Linked DNA regions of Drosophila melanogaster. The protein of the gene in region 2 interacts with the protein of the main gene of each other region in a pairwise test. Each region holds a gene or a part of one and is shown on either strand. Other genes may lie near its edges.

Evidence for each region. Proteins that work in one complex are often made in the same cells at the same time.
Region 1: the proteins of Cen (region 2) and Ccn interact in a two-hybrid assay, tested with the Drosophila melanogaster proteins (one large-scale study listed by BioGRID).

What each region holds. Positions count from the first base shown.
Region 1 is NT_037436.4:17,687,710-17,693,178, reverse strand, and holds the start of Ccn (Ccn), read right to left. Parts: upstream 3,165-5,469; 5' UTR 2,704-3,164; intron 1-2,703.
Region 2 is NT_033779.5:20,678,421-20,684,291, forward strand, and holds Cen (centrocortin), read right to left. Parts: upstream 3,427-5,871; 5' UTR 3,199-3,426; exon of another isoform or gene 3,114-3,198; 5' UTR 3,073-3,113; coding exon 700-3,072; 3' UTR 501-699; downstream 1-500. Other genes in the region: IKKepsilon (I-kappaB kinase epsilon), read left to right, coding at 1-351; CG2617 (uncharacterized protein), read left to right, coding at 4,029-4,853.

The DNA.
Region 1 (5,469 bases), on a different chromosome or scaffold from region 2:
TAAATGTCTGCACATTGTTGCAGGTGGTGCAAGTGCTTGCTTCTGCTGCTGGTGTTGGTGTTGGTACTGGGAAAATCTGCGGGAAATGCGGAAAAGGGGCCCGAAACGAGACGTGAGACAAGCTGAAAGCCGCCTGCAGCTTGTGCTTGACATTTGCCTGACAATCGGCGGACACATTTTGCCACACCGTTCGCCCCTGGGCGATGCGGATTTTTCCGCTGCTTTGATTTTGAATAGCTCACTTACTTAATAAAAGCGCGAGTAAAAAACGCCCTCCCACCCCAGTCTTTGTTTTCTAGATACCCCCACAGTCTGTGCTAATGCTGTGCAAATTCAAGTTCGTATTCTTGAGGATTCCGCTTTACGACCCTCGCTCAGATCAGATCATAATACTTGGCGTGGTATAATTCACAGCTTAAAGTGGCTCATGAAAAATAAGTGAAAAGTCGGGGATTTAAATTGGCAGTTGTTGTAGAATACTCTACCAATTTATTCCGATAAATACAATCAGCATGTTACTCAAATTTCTATTTCAACAACATCTTATTAGGAGGTCTCGTTTTGAAAAAGAATTGTCTCCTGCTATTCTCGTTCATCTTGTTAAATTCCAGAAATTTATTTCGCGTGCCCCAGTAAAGCACACTTAACTTTGTGCCCCCGTCCTCGATCAAGTGTTGTTTATTACGGCTACAGTATTTTTCAGATCCTTCGACGGGGAGAGCATGCCAACGCAAATCTACCTTGAGAAAGCAACAATCAGTCCCCCAAGGCCGCAACAACAAGGCAAAAAGTTGGCAAGTAAATTTATTTATTGAGTCACTTACTTGGCAAGAAATCTCCTTGCCTTCCCAACATGGAATGCGTGTGTGTTTGGCTTGAATTTATGTGTGTTTTGGCTGCCGACTTTCACTTGGCTTTCCACACATTCGCCTGGTAATTGTATTAAATTTCAATTAATATAATATGTGCCTAGGGTGCGGAGGAGTTCATTTGAAAAGTATTTGGTTTATGAAGCTTATCATTTTCATAACTTCTCGAGTTCAATTTGCGGAATGGCTTAATATAAATTTTATGATATGCTATCAAACATTCTGTTTTCAAATCAAAAGCATAATACATCATTTCACAACAAATACAACAAATACAAATAATACAACAAATCACTACCATACAAAATTAATCTAGTCATCTGTTTCTATATTTTGAGTATTAAGTTGCTTATTTAATCGAGTATTTCAATGTTTTCTTACTTGATTCAAATTCTGGATGGTTATTTTTCATCGAAACGCTTCGTAAAGGTTTCTTATTTTTTACGGCCATCGAAGCGAACTTTGTCTTGGCTTTATTGTTGCTACTGTTGTTTTGGGGAATATTCCAATTTTGTTGGTCATAAATTTTAGCGAGACTGGCAAATGAAAAGCACAGCGTAAAAGAAAATATTTAAATTTCCTCGGTTTCCCAATTTTTTTTTTTGTACATTTTTGGCAGCCCTTTTTTCCAGTTCGGTTGAAGGGAGCGGGAGTTCTGTGAGAAAAAATCTGCTTAAATGTACTTCCGTCATAAAATAACGGTAATGCACAGCAATGTGCGTCTGTGGGTGTGGGCATGTATGTTGTGTGTGTGTGTGTGTTGGTGTGTTTGTGTGTGCATGGCTCACGTAGCAGGACGAGCAAGAAAAACCTTTTTATAAATGTTGGTTCGCAGCTTCCGCAAAATAATAAAACAAAAAGGCAGCTGCCAGGACATCCCCCGTCCAAAGGCAACTGGAAAGAATGCTTTTAAATTTGACACACACACCGCACACACACACACACAAGCACGCACTTGGCGAAAAAAAAAATTAATAAATTTTGTGCAACAAAGTTGCCTCTAAGGCACCGATTCGCAACCGACCATGAACCCACTTCCCCGCGTTGCTCACTTCGGTTTCAATTTTTTTGTTCTGTTTTTATCCTTTTTTGTGTTCTCTGTTTGTTTTGATGGCCCAAAACTCGGTGCGGCAACATTTGTTTGAAGTTTATTTTGCATATGTTTATTTTTGTTTACGCAATGTTATTCCCCTTTGTATTATGTCCTTTTTTTCTGTTTGCTGCAGTGTCAATTGTCGCATTGGCATGCGAAACTTTTTTTCGATGGGTAATTTAAAAAAATATACCGCATTTTTATTTTTATCAAGAGAAATACATCATTTACCGCAATATAATAACAAAAGAAACTATTTATCTCATACTCTACTCATACCACCACAAACTTGGCTAAAAAAAAAATTAAATGCCTCACATTAATGCAAATATTTAACACTTAACACTCCCATTAACTTTTAATTGGAAGCTTATCGCTTTAATATGGTAGCTTTTAAAACAATAAAACAATGACGTTCGTTTAAAATTACTTCCACACTTGTGCTTCAAATTTTTTTAGGGTTATATATTACCTATTAATCGATGCTTGCTCAATGCACGAACTAATTAAAATTGTCCAACGTAGAAACAAATAATCAGCACAAAATTCGTTCAACTAAAAACAATAGATATTTGCTAGTGCATTGAACCTCCATTTTTGCCACATTATGTAGATTTATTTGAAGCCAATGGCACAAACGTCAAAATAAACGCATTAACACTGCGGTCAGTGTTGATTAAACTTGTATTTTTAGCAATATTATAATAAAATATTCAACAATAAGTATACCATTTGACATACCTTAAATTAGCCGGACTTTCTGCCCACACTTTTGATTTATCGAGGGGGTTCAGAGACCCCTGGCAGTGGCAATTGACCACTTCACTGGCTGCTCGTGTATTTGTTTTTCTACTTCTAGGTACTTTTTTTTATTATTTTCCTTGTAGATACGCCCGCAACACACGTCAATTAACCTACTTTCGTGCTGGCAGGAGGGCTGGGCAAAAAACCCCAAACATAATATAACCACTAGAACAATACTCGCAATACAACGAATGGGCCAAGTTAATTTGCTTAGACTTTTGTTTTGGTTTCTATCTTTTTTTATTCGCCTTTTGTCGTTTCGATTGCTCAAAGTATTTCCGGCAACACACGTACACACACCCACGAGGGACACTTTAGCCGGCTTTTTTGCCTTCTTGCGCCAAAATCCAATAAAACAGTCTTAGAAGACCAGGTGATATCGCTCATACGACGCGTGTGCCGTGCAGCACGAACGAGTGACAAAAACGAACTGAAACTGAGGACGGAGGACTGAATTCAAATCGGAGTCCAAGTTGGCTGACCAACTGCGCATGCGTCACTTTTAGTCAATGAAAAGCTTCGTGCCACAAGACATTTGCCGCCAACAGGACTCCGAAAATGGCACTCGTTTTCGGAGTAGTCTGTTGCTGATGTTGCTTTTGGTGTTGCTGTTATTGCTGTTGCTTTAGGTGTTGCTGCTGTTCCTGTGGTTGTTGTCGTTGTCAGCGGCAACATAATCATCGGCGCGTGTTGCTCACTTTGTTGGCAGACGACTCGCAAACCGAAAACACAGCCAACAGAACGCACAACAGCAATCCTGGCGCACAATTCGCGCAACGTCATGTCAACGAGACAGTCGAGACAAATGCCACAGATCCCCTGCCAAAAGGACACCCCTCTTCGAATCCTTGAACCATTTTCAGGCCCACCCATTGTCAATTGTCTTGTGGGCTTAATGCTTCTTTGCCTCTGTGTTTTCCCTTTTATTTCAGCGCTGTCTGTTTAATTTCTTTTATCAACAAGCCGAGGTCTGCAGGCTTCCATCCTTCGTGTCCTTCGTGATATCCTCTTGTTGCGTCGCCCACACTCAATTGCTTATCAACTATCGGTGCATGCAGACGGCCTTTTGTAATCGCCAGCTTATTTGATTTATTGCCCTCGCTTTTGATTACAAATACATATGTGCTTAAGTTAATTGAGACTATACCACTTTTAAATTTTTGCTTCTTTTCTGCTTACTTTTTCATTGGCCAACATTATGTTCAAGGAACTATTGCATATTATAGATAATAGGGCGAATGGTTCACTGAAACATGCTCTTAAACCTCGCTGACCTCTCGCAATGGTCTTAAGCTTCGTATCTGGTCAGGTAAAGCCCTTGTAATCGCCTGTTAACTTGACATGACGATGCTTAACTGATTTATCTGTCTCATGGCTAAGACCCGGGCATTGATAGACATGATGGATGGACGAATCGATGAATGGACGTGGTCGAGGAGGGACAGGAAGTGAATTCTTGGTCCGATGAAAGATTGGCGAAGCTTTTTGCTACTTTCCAAATTAAACCGCTTAGTCGAGCGTTTAAATTTAATGCATTTGAGCTGCTTAGCCTCGTCTGCAGTTTATGTTTTTAGTCTATTTGCACACCATCCGACTGCACTTTATCGGCATCTTTACTTAGCCAAATTGCATCTTGGCCTGGTCCAGTGTACAGACTTCAATACTCTCGCATAAATTGCGGTTCTTTGTGTACAGCATTTGTGATTTAACAAGCAGGGTAAATAAATTATGCAAAAATACACACCGAATCGCAAAGAATTCGCCACTTGTTGAAAGTTCCGCCCCGGTATTGGTTGAATACAGTGTATCTCTACATTACACAATGGCATTACGGCTGATTATACTCGTGTAAGACTCGTTATTTATTATGAAAATCTGCTAGCTCAGAATTTAATTTAAAAGTTTGTGGGTTTCGTCACGGCTCAGGCAAATACAATTTGCAATTTCACAAATTTTAGAAGGGAACAAATCTTAAATACGCCACAAAATATGCCATCTTCTGACCATGGAGGACCAACAGGAGCGGCAGCTTAGATGGCGAGTGGCGTTGGGAGCCGCTTAAGCCTCCGGCCGGTCCATTTTAATCCCTTTTAAATTGATATTGTAATTGGTTTTTGTATGTAGTTATGAATTTCAATATGTCGGCCGGGCTTACCCTCTAGTTCCTCCATGTTTTCTGTTTGTCTTTCATGTGTGTTCTCTAAATCATACATATACACATGTTTGAATTATGTGATTTTGGTGGGCTTAGCTGTTGGTAGTGGTTGTGCTGGTTTGGATTACGCCAGGCAATTTATATTTGCTTTGTGGTGGGTTATAGTTGATATTTGACCAGTTGGACGAGGTGTTACTTCAGTGTGCAAATCATAATATGAAAAAATATACTTAGATATTGCTCAAGTATATCTGGAGATTTTAAAATTATTTTCACATTTATTATCAACAAAATTAAAAGGTAACAAAACACAATAAAAATATATTAATATATTTTTTTAAAAATGTTCTTATTTTATAAAAGTATTAAAAAAATCAATTAAAGTAAATTTACTCATAGAACGATCTAGTTAAAGCTTCAGTTTCACATGCTCGTTTCACATATTCTTATATATAATAGTAATTAAATAGGATAAGAGGTGAATCCCAACCGTAATCTAATTACATTTATGCAATTAAAAACTTTAAACTTTCATTTAATTTATAAAG
Region 2 (5,871 bases):
AACGTAAATCCGACAGTGGCACAAATCGCAGAGTGCCTGGCGGACTGGTATAAGTTGGCTCAGACCGTCTACCTTAAAACTCAAATTTTGGAGAAGGACGTGCGCGATTGCGAAAGAAAGTTGAACGGAATACGCGATGAGTTGTATCACGTTAAGTCGGAGCTGAAGCTGGATGTGGACACAAAGACCATAAACAACAATAATCAGCTGGCCAAGATAGAGGAGCGGAATCGGCTAAGGGTCATGCAGCAGCAGCAACAGGAAGTTATGGCTGTCATGAGAACGAACAGCGATATAATAAGTTTGCTTAGCAAACTGGGCATTACCAACGGAAGTCTGGAAAGTAGTTAGACGGGCATATCATGAAAGTGCAAGAATATTTTATTTGCCTTTACTTTGTAAGTTAACAATAAATGTTTACTTTTTTATATCTGAATTTGTAAAGCAACTACATATATTCCTATTGAAACTTGGCTGAATATCGTGAAAGAGTAAGATTTCTGTAGGTCATTAAATTATTTATTTTATCATGCTGAAATAAAATTAAATTTCCGATTATAGTTATTTAGTTATTGTTATTTAACTGTCTATACATGAAAAAGCGGACTAGACTGCATGGCACACACAATTTAAAAATGGTAGAATGCCCTATGGCTAGAATGCACTGTTTAATTGCTTATTTACATTCTCTAAACAAGTTTACTTTTGACGAAACTGATGATGATGACTCTTGCGAATGTTGGCTCCGTTGTGTTGCTGTCGCTGGGAATGTGATCTTGTGGGTCCATGTTCGCCGGCATCGGCCCGGCGCAAAACTTCGGCGTAGGATAAGTCTAACTTTTTAAGTTTATGTAAGTCTTGCGATACCGTGTTATGATAAAACTCGACGCCATTGAGCTCTATTACTCGGCCCCGAGAAGTTTGGGGAGTATTCATATTCTTGTTATAGATCACCATGGGAGAGCCATTCCAGTTGCTTGAGGATGGAGTTGTCCGTCTGCGGTTACTGCGTCCGAATTCAGCATTCAATGTATCCGTACACATCTTTGAGCTCCCTTGTCCACCACCACGGTTGTTCATGGCCAGAGGACTGTTCCTGGGAGTAAATTCCCGGGAGTTAAACAATTCGATGCGATCTCCAGATGAGCTTTGGTTTCGGTGCTTTCGTCGGTTCTTCTTCTTGATTCCGACACCTACGGTTAGATATTCGAGTGGTTCGCGCTTGAGTGGAGTAAGTATCTGGCCATTCTCCCTTATGGGTTTATAATTCGGTTCGCCGACAGTTGTTTCCTTCGAGGAGCTGTTTAACAAAGTGGATTGCGTTAGGGACGATTGGTTTTGTTGGTTTCGGACATCAAAGATGTGTTTTTTGGCTGTCTTCCGCTCCAGTTTGGTAACGCACTCGGACATTGCAATGGACTGGTTGGATATAACTGAGGATACGACGCTCTGTGTGTCGTCAATGAAGTCATCTGGAGATTCCTCCCTCTCGGGTGTTACCGGGGGTACTTTGGCCGCCACCAAGGGTAATTTTTCTGTAATCTGTGCGTCGTCATGCAGGGACGGAAGCTTGTCTTCTTCGTTATTATCAGCTGCCTTCTTGAGCACTCCAAATATCTCCTTGAAGAGTTCCCTGTACTCCGGGCGATTACGGAAATGAGATTCAATGGGGCTGACGTCGTCATAAATACTGAATTTACAATCGTTTCCATTACTTATTGAGCAAAGGAAGTAACTCGGTCGCTCGTCAGTTTGCGTAGACTTGTTGCTAGTTTCATCCGAGAATCCCGACGATGTAGTTTCTGATTCCGAAAACTCGGTTGGAGTGCGCTTACGTGTTGAATCCAACATAAGGTCAGATTCCTTTGAGCTGTTAACAATTGTTTCTGATTTTTTGCCTTGACTGGACTCGGTCATGGTCTTCCCATCTGGATTGCTGGTGAAGTTGCTCTTGACCGCATTCGAGGTTCTCTTCACCTCCACCAGAGCTTCATATTTCTCGACTAGGTCCCGATAAGGATTTGGTTTGTCGCTAGAGTTGGGATTGAGGTCCTCGGGAATCCGGAAGCGTTCCTTATAATCCGCACCACTATTATCGCATTTCGAGGTGCTTTCGCTTAGTATGCTGCGATCGTCATCTTCGTAGATTTCTTCGGTTGGGGCAATGGAGGATTGATCATCCATATTGGTGTTGCTTTCGTTAATATCCCTCAGGCAGCGACTACACATTTGGCCTTGTCTCACGTCGTCCAGGAGGCTGAACTCCTCGTGCATCGACATTGTTCCCTCATTGGCACTGTTCTCCAGCAGACGTGTCTGCAGACCTTGGTTGTCTTGGATTATGGTCACCAACTGCTCCTCCAGCTCGGTGCACCGCTGCTGTTCGGCCAAGAAGTCACGTTTTAACACCTCCATTTCGCTGAGCAGCTTTACCAATTCCTCGTTGTCTTCACCCTTAACGGCGGTCCTCTCGCACATGGTGGCATTACTGAAGGAGATATCCTCCAATCCTGTCGAGTTCGCTATGGCCATAACATCTAGTTTGGAGAACTCAACACTCTGCTCCTTGCACAGCGATTGAATGCTGTGACTGGACACAGAACCCTCGGTCGAATGCTGCATCCTATAGCGTTCCTGCTGGTACTGATCCACCTTCCGCCGCTCGGTGCTCAGGGATTGCCGAGCATCGCTCAGAAGTTGACTCAGTTCCTCGCAGCGGGCTTCCAGGACTTCCGTGTTGGTGGTCAGCGTCTTAATCTGCTTCTTGTCCCGATTCTTCTCCAGATTTAGCCGCTGATTGGCACGCTCCAGATCCTGAATGCCCACTTCCAGCTGCTCGTAGACCTTAAGCCGTGAATCATTCACCTCGGTCATCGCATTAATGTGCTTGCGCAGATGCAAGATCTCCAGTTCCTGCTCATCCCCCTTAATCTTGTACTCCTTGATGAAGGTTTCCAGCTCCTTATTGCGTTCCAGGAGCGTTTTTCCCAGCTCTGCTGCCAATTGTAGGTCATCGAGCATGAACTGCGATACGTTTTCACAGCCAGCCGAACCGTGATTGGATTCCTCCATCTTGGACTTGGACCTTTCTAAGCTTGGGCTTGATGCGAACTCTGGCGAAAATTTAAAGATTTAATCGATTTTAGTTCATTTAGCAGCAGAGCTTTGTGAGCAAAGCAAAACTCAAACAGTAATTACTTGGCAAATGTCCTCTCAATGGTGGAAAACTGCTACAACAGTAACTTTTTTACTGTTTCATCCCCAAAAACAAAAAGTATGGTATTGCAGCGAGTGCAGAAAAAGCCCTACGTACTAGGGCGCAACTGCATGTACGAATAGTTAATTAATGCTTTTTATTATACACAATCGACCTGCAGACAAAGAACCGAAATGAACTTCCTAGCAGAACCGGAAATAAATTTATAATAGGATTATTCGCATTAGGGGGATTCCTGCTCAGATAGGGCTATGATTTAAGCTCGCCTTTCTTATATAACCCCTCGCGAGTTGTTTGGGGAAACCTTGTTGGATTCTGAAATACCAGCAAAATGCACGGATGTATAATTATATTTTTGAGCTTTCATTGTCTTTGAAAGAAGCATGCAATATCATAATAGATCAGTACATGAATACCCATATTAATTATTACGCATATTTATAGTTGTCAAAATTAATAAATCCAAATTGTTATGTCTCCTTAGTAATTCCTTTGCTCACAGAAGCAAAATATTTGTTTGAACATTATTAATTTAAGTTACCCTAGAATTTGGCGTATTTAAAGTTCAGATACCATCTAAGTTTAAATATATCTAGGAAGTGCAACCGATAATGTGTGGGGTGTTAAAAATAAATATATATATTAATTATACAAATATTTAAGATAAGTAATTATTTGACGCTACCTTATCGCAACGATAGCTTGGCTTTAATTACCAACCACCGCCTGGTCACACTAAGCGGCCGGCGTTCTTGTTTTGATTTTGTGTTTCTTCCTTTTCTTAATTCGAGGACAGTATGAGCCCCCCGCCATGCTGGACGCTCTAATTCGGGCAGCGGAGCTTGTGGATCTGGTCCTGCTGCGTCCGCTGGCCAGCGTGATTGATGCAGTGATTACTGGCGTGTACTACTTCCTGTGGGGCAGCTACCTCGTCGGCTTCTGTTTGGTGGAGGGCAGCAGGAAAGGATGGAATCTGTTGAGATGCGCGGTCAGGAATATCAACGAGGGCATCCGCGACTTGGGCCTCATCACGCTAGATGTGGCGGACTACTTCTACGGCGGCACCAAAGGCGGGCTCAAGAATGTACTCGATTTTGGTCACTGCATATCCCGATTCATCTGCAACTTACTCATCGATCTGGGTGATGGCATCTTGTGGCTGCTGATGCTGCTGCCGAGGGCCATACTATTCCTCTGGGACTGCCTCCTAGACTTTGTGGTGCACTCAATCGTGGCCCATGGCTTGAGCTTGCTGAACAGTGCGTTCCGGGCCTCGATAGGATTGGCCCTGCTCCTCGTTCTCTATATGTTCCGCCGCTATGTGTACCTGATGCTCATCTACCTGCTGCAACGTGGACGCATTGAAATCTCGACGAAGACGCAAAGCGTTTACCTATGGACCCATCATAAATTGCAACACTTCATACACAATGTTTGGTATGTGTCAGAGAACGCAGGATCCGCGAGTCCAGAACGCTGTGTCGTGTGCATGGCTCAAAGCAGGAACGTAGTAGTCATGCCATGCCGGCACCTCTGCCTCTGCAAAGAGTGCTCCCTGCAGCTCGTGCTCCTTTTAGAAGACCGCTGTCCTGTCTGCAGGCACAACATTACGTCGTTCCTGTCAGTTTACGTTTGATATATAAGACTGCCAATTGGAATTTAACTTATAAGTAATTATGATTCTCAGAAGTTAACCAAATGTCTTTGGTTAAGACACTTGTAATAGAAAAAACAAATAATCTTTACAAAGCAGAACAGACAAAACATTTTAATGCAGCTTTCAATTCCCAGACACCTAAAATATCAAGTAAAACAAGTTAAATTGTTTTATGTATTTATTTCAAACCAATGAAAATATACGATTTGTTTTGTATACATTTATGTAAATACGGTTTGGTTTTGCGTATAACTAATTTGCTCAAAAGACAGATATAGAAAAAACGTTTGTTTTGGGCTTACATCGTTTAAGTATATATAATTAAAGATTAAATCGAAATGAAATGATTCGCTTTGCTTGTTATCGTATTGCAGAGTTAATTGAATTGCAAGTTATAGTTCTTCCATCATAACACTTATATGATTTGGGTTCTTAACTGGTAAATGAAACGATCAAATAAGAGTAAATTACACAACTGGCAATATAGCATTGGTAGTACCGATGTCTATCAGATAGACATTTGTGATAGCGTCTATAGGTTTCACCTCTCTTTCTGCTTTCTGCATTTCTAGTAGTAGGCGCATAAGTGGGCTGGATATACATAGCTAATGTACATACATAGCTTAGGTTATCTATTGTGTGGTTGGGGGTGTAGTGGGAAATAGCGCCCGATGTACCGATTGACGCTCTTATTACGAATAACATTATCTTGCGAAGGACGTCTAATTATGCTATATAAATTTAATTTGTGCCAATTTCTTCTGTTGCTTTTCAATTTGTTGTATAAAGCTTTATGCGCTGCATCTAGCTTAATTCTATCCGTTACATAGTAAAATATATATGTATGTTAGTGTGTATATGTATATCCTTTAATAGCAATATTAAAAAGTTCTCATTTAAAATTGTTTCATCGAAAAATTTCACGTTTACTCTTCTGTTTTGTTTTATTTTCTTTTGTTTCGTTTTGTAGCTGTATCTCAAAAATATGAATCCACAC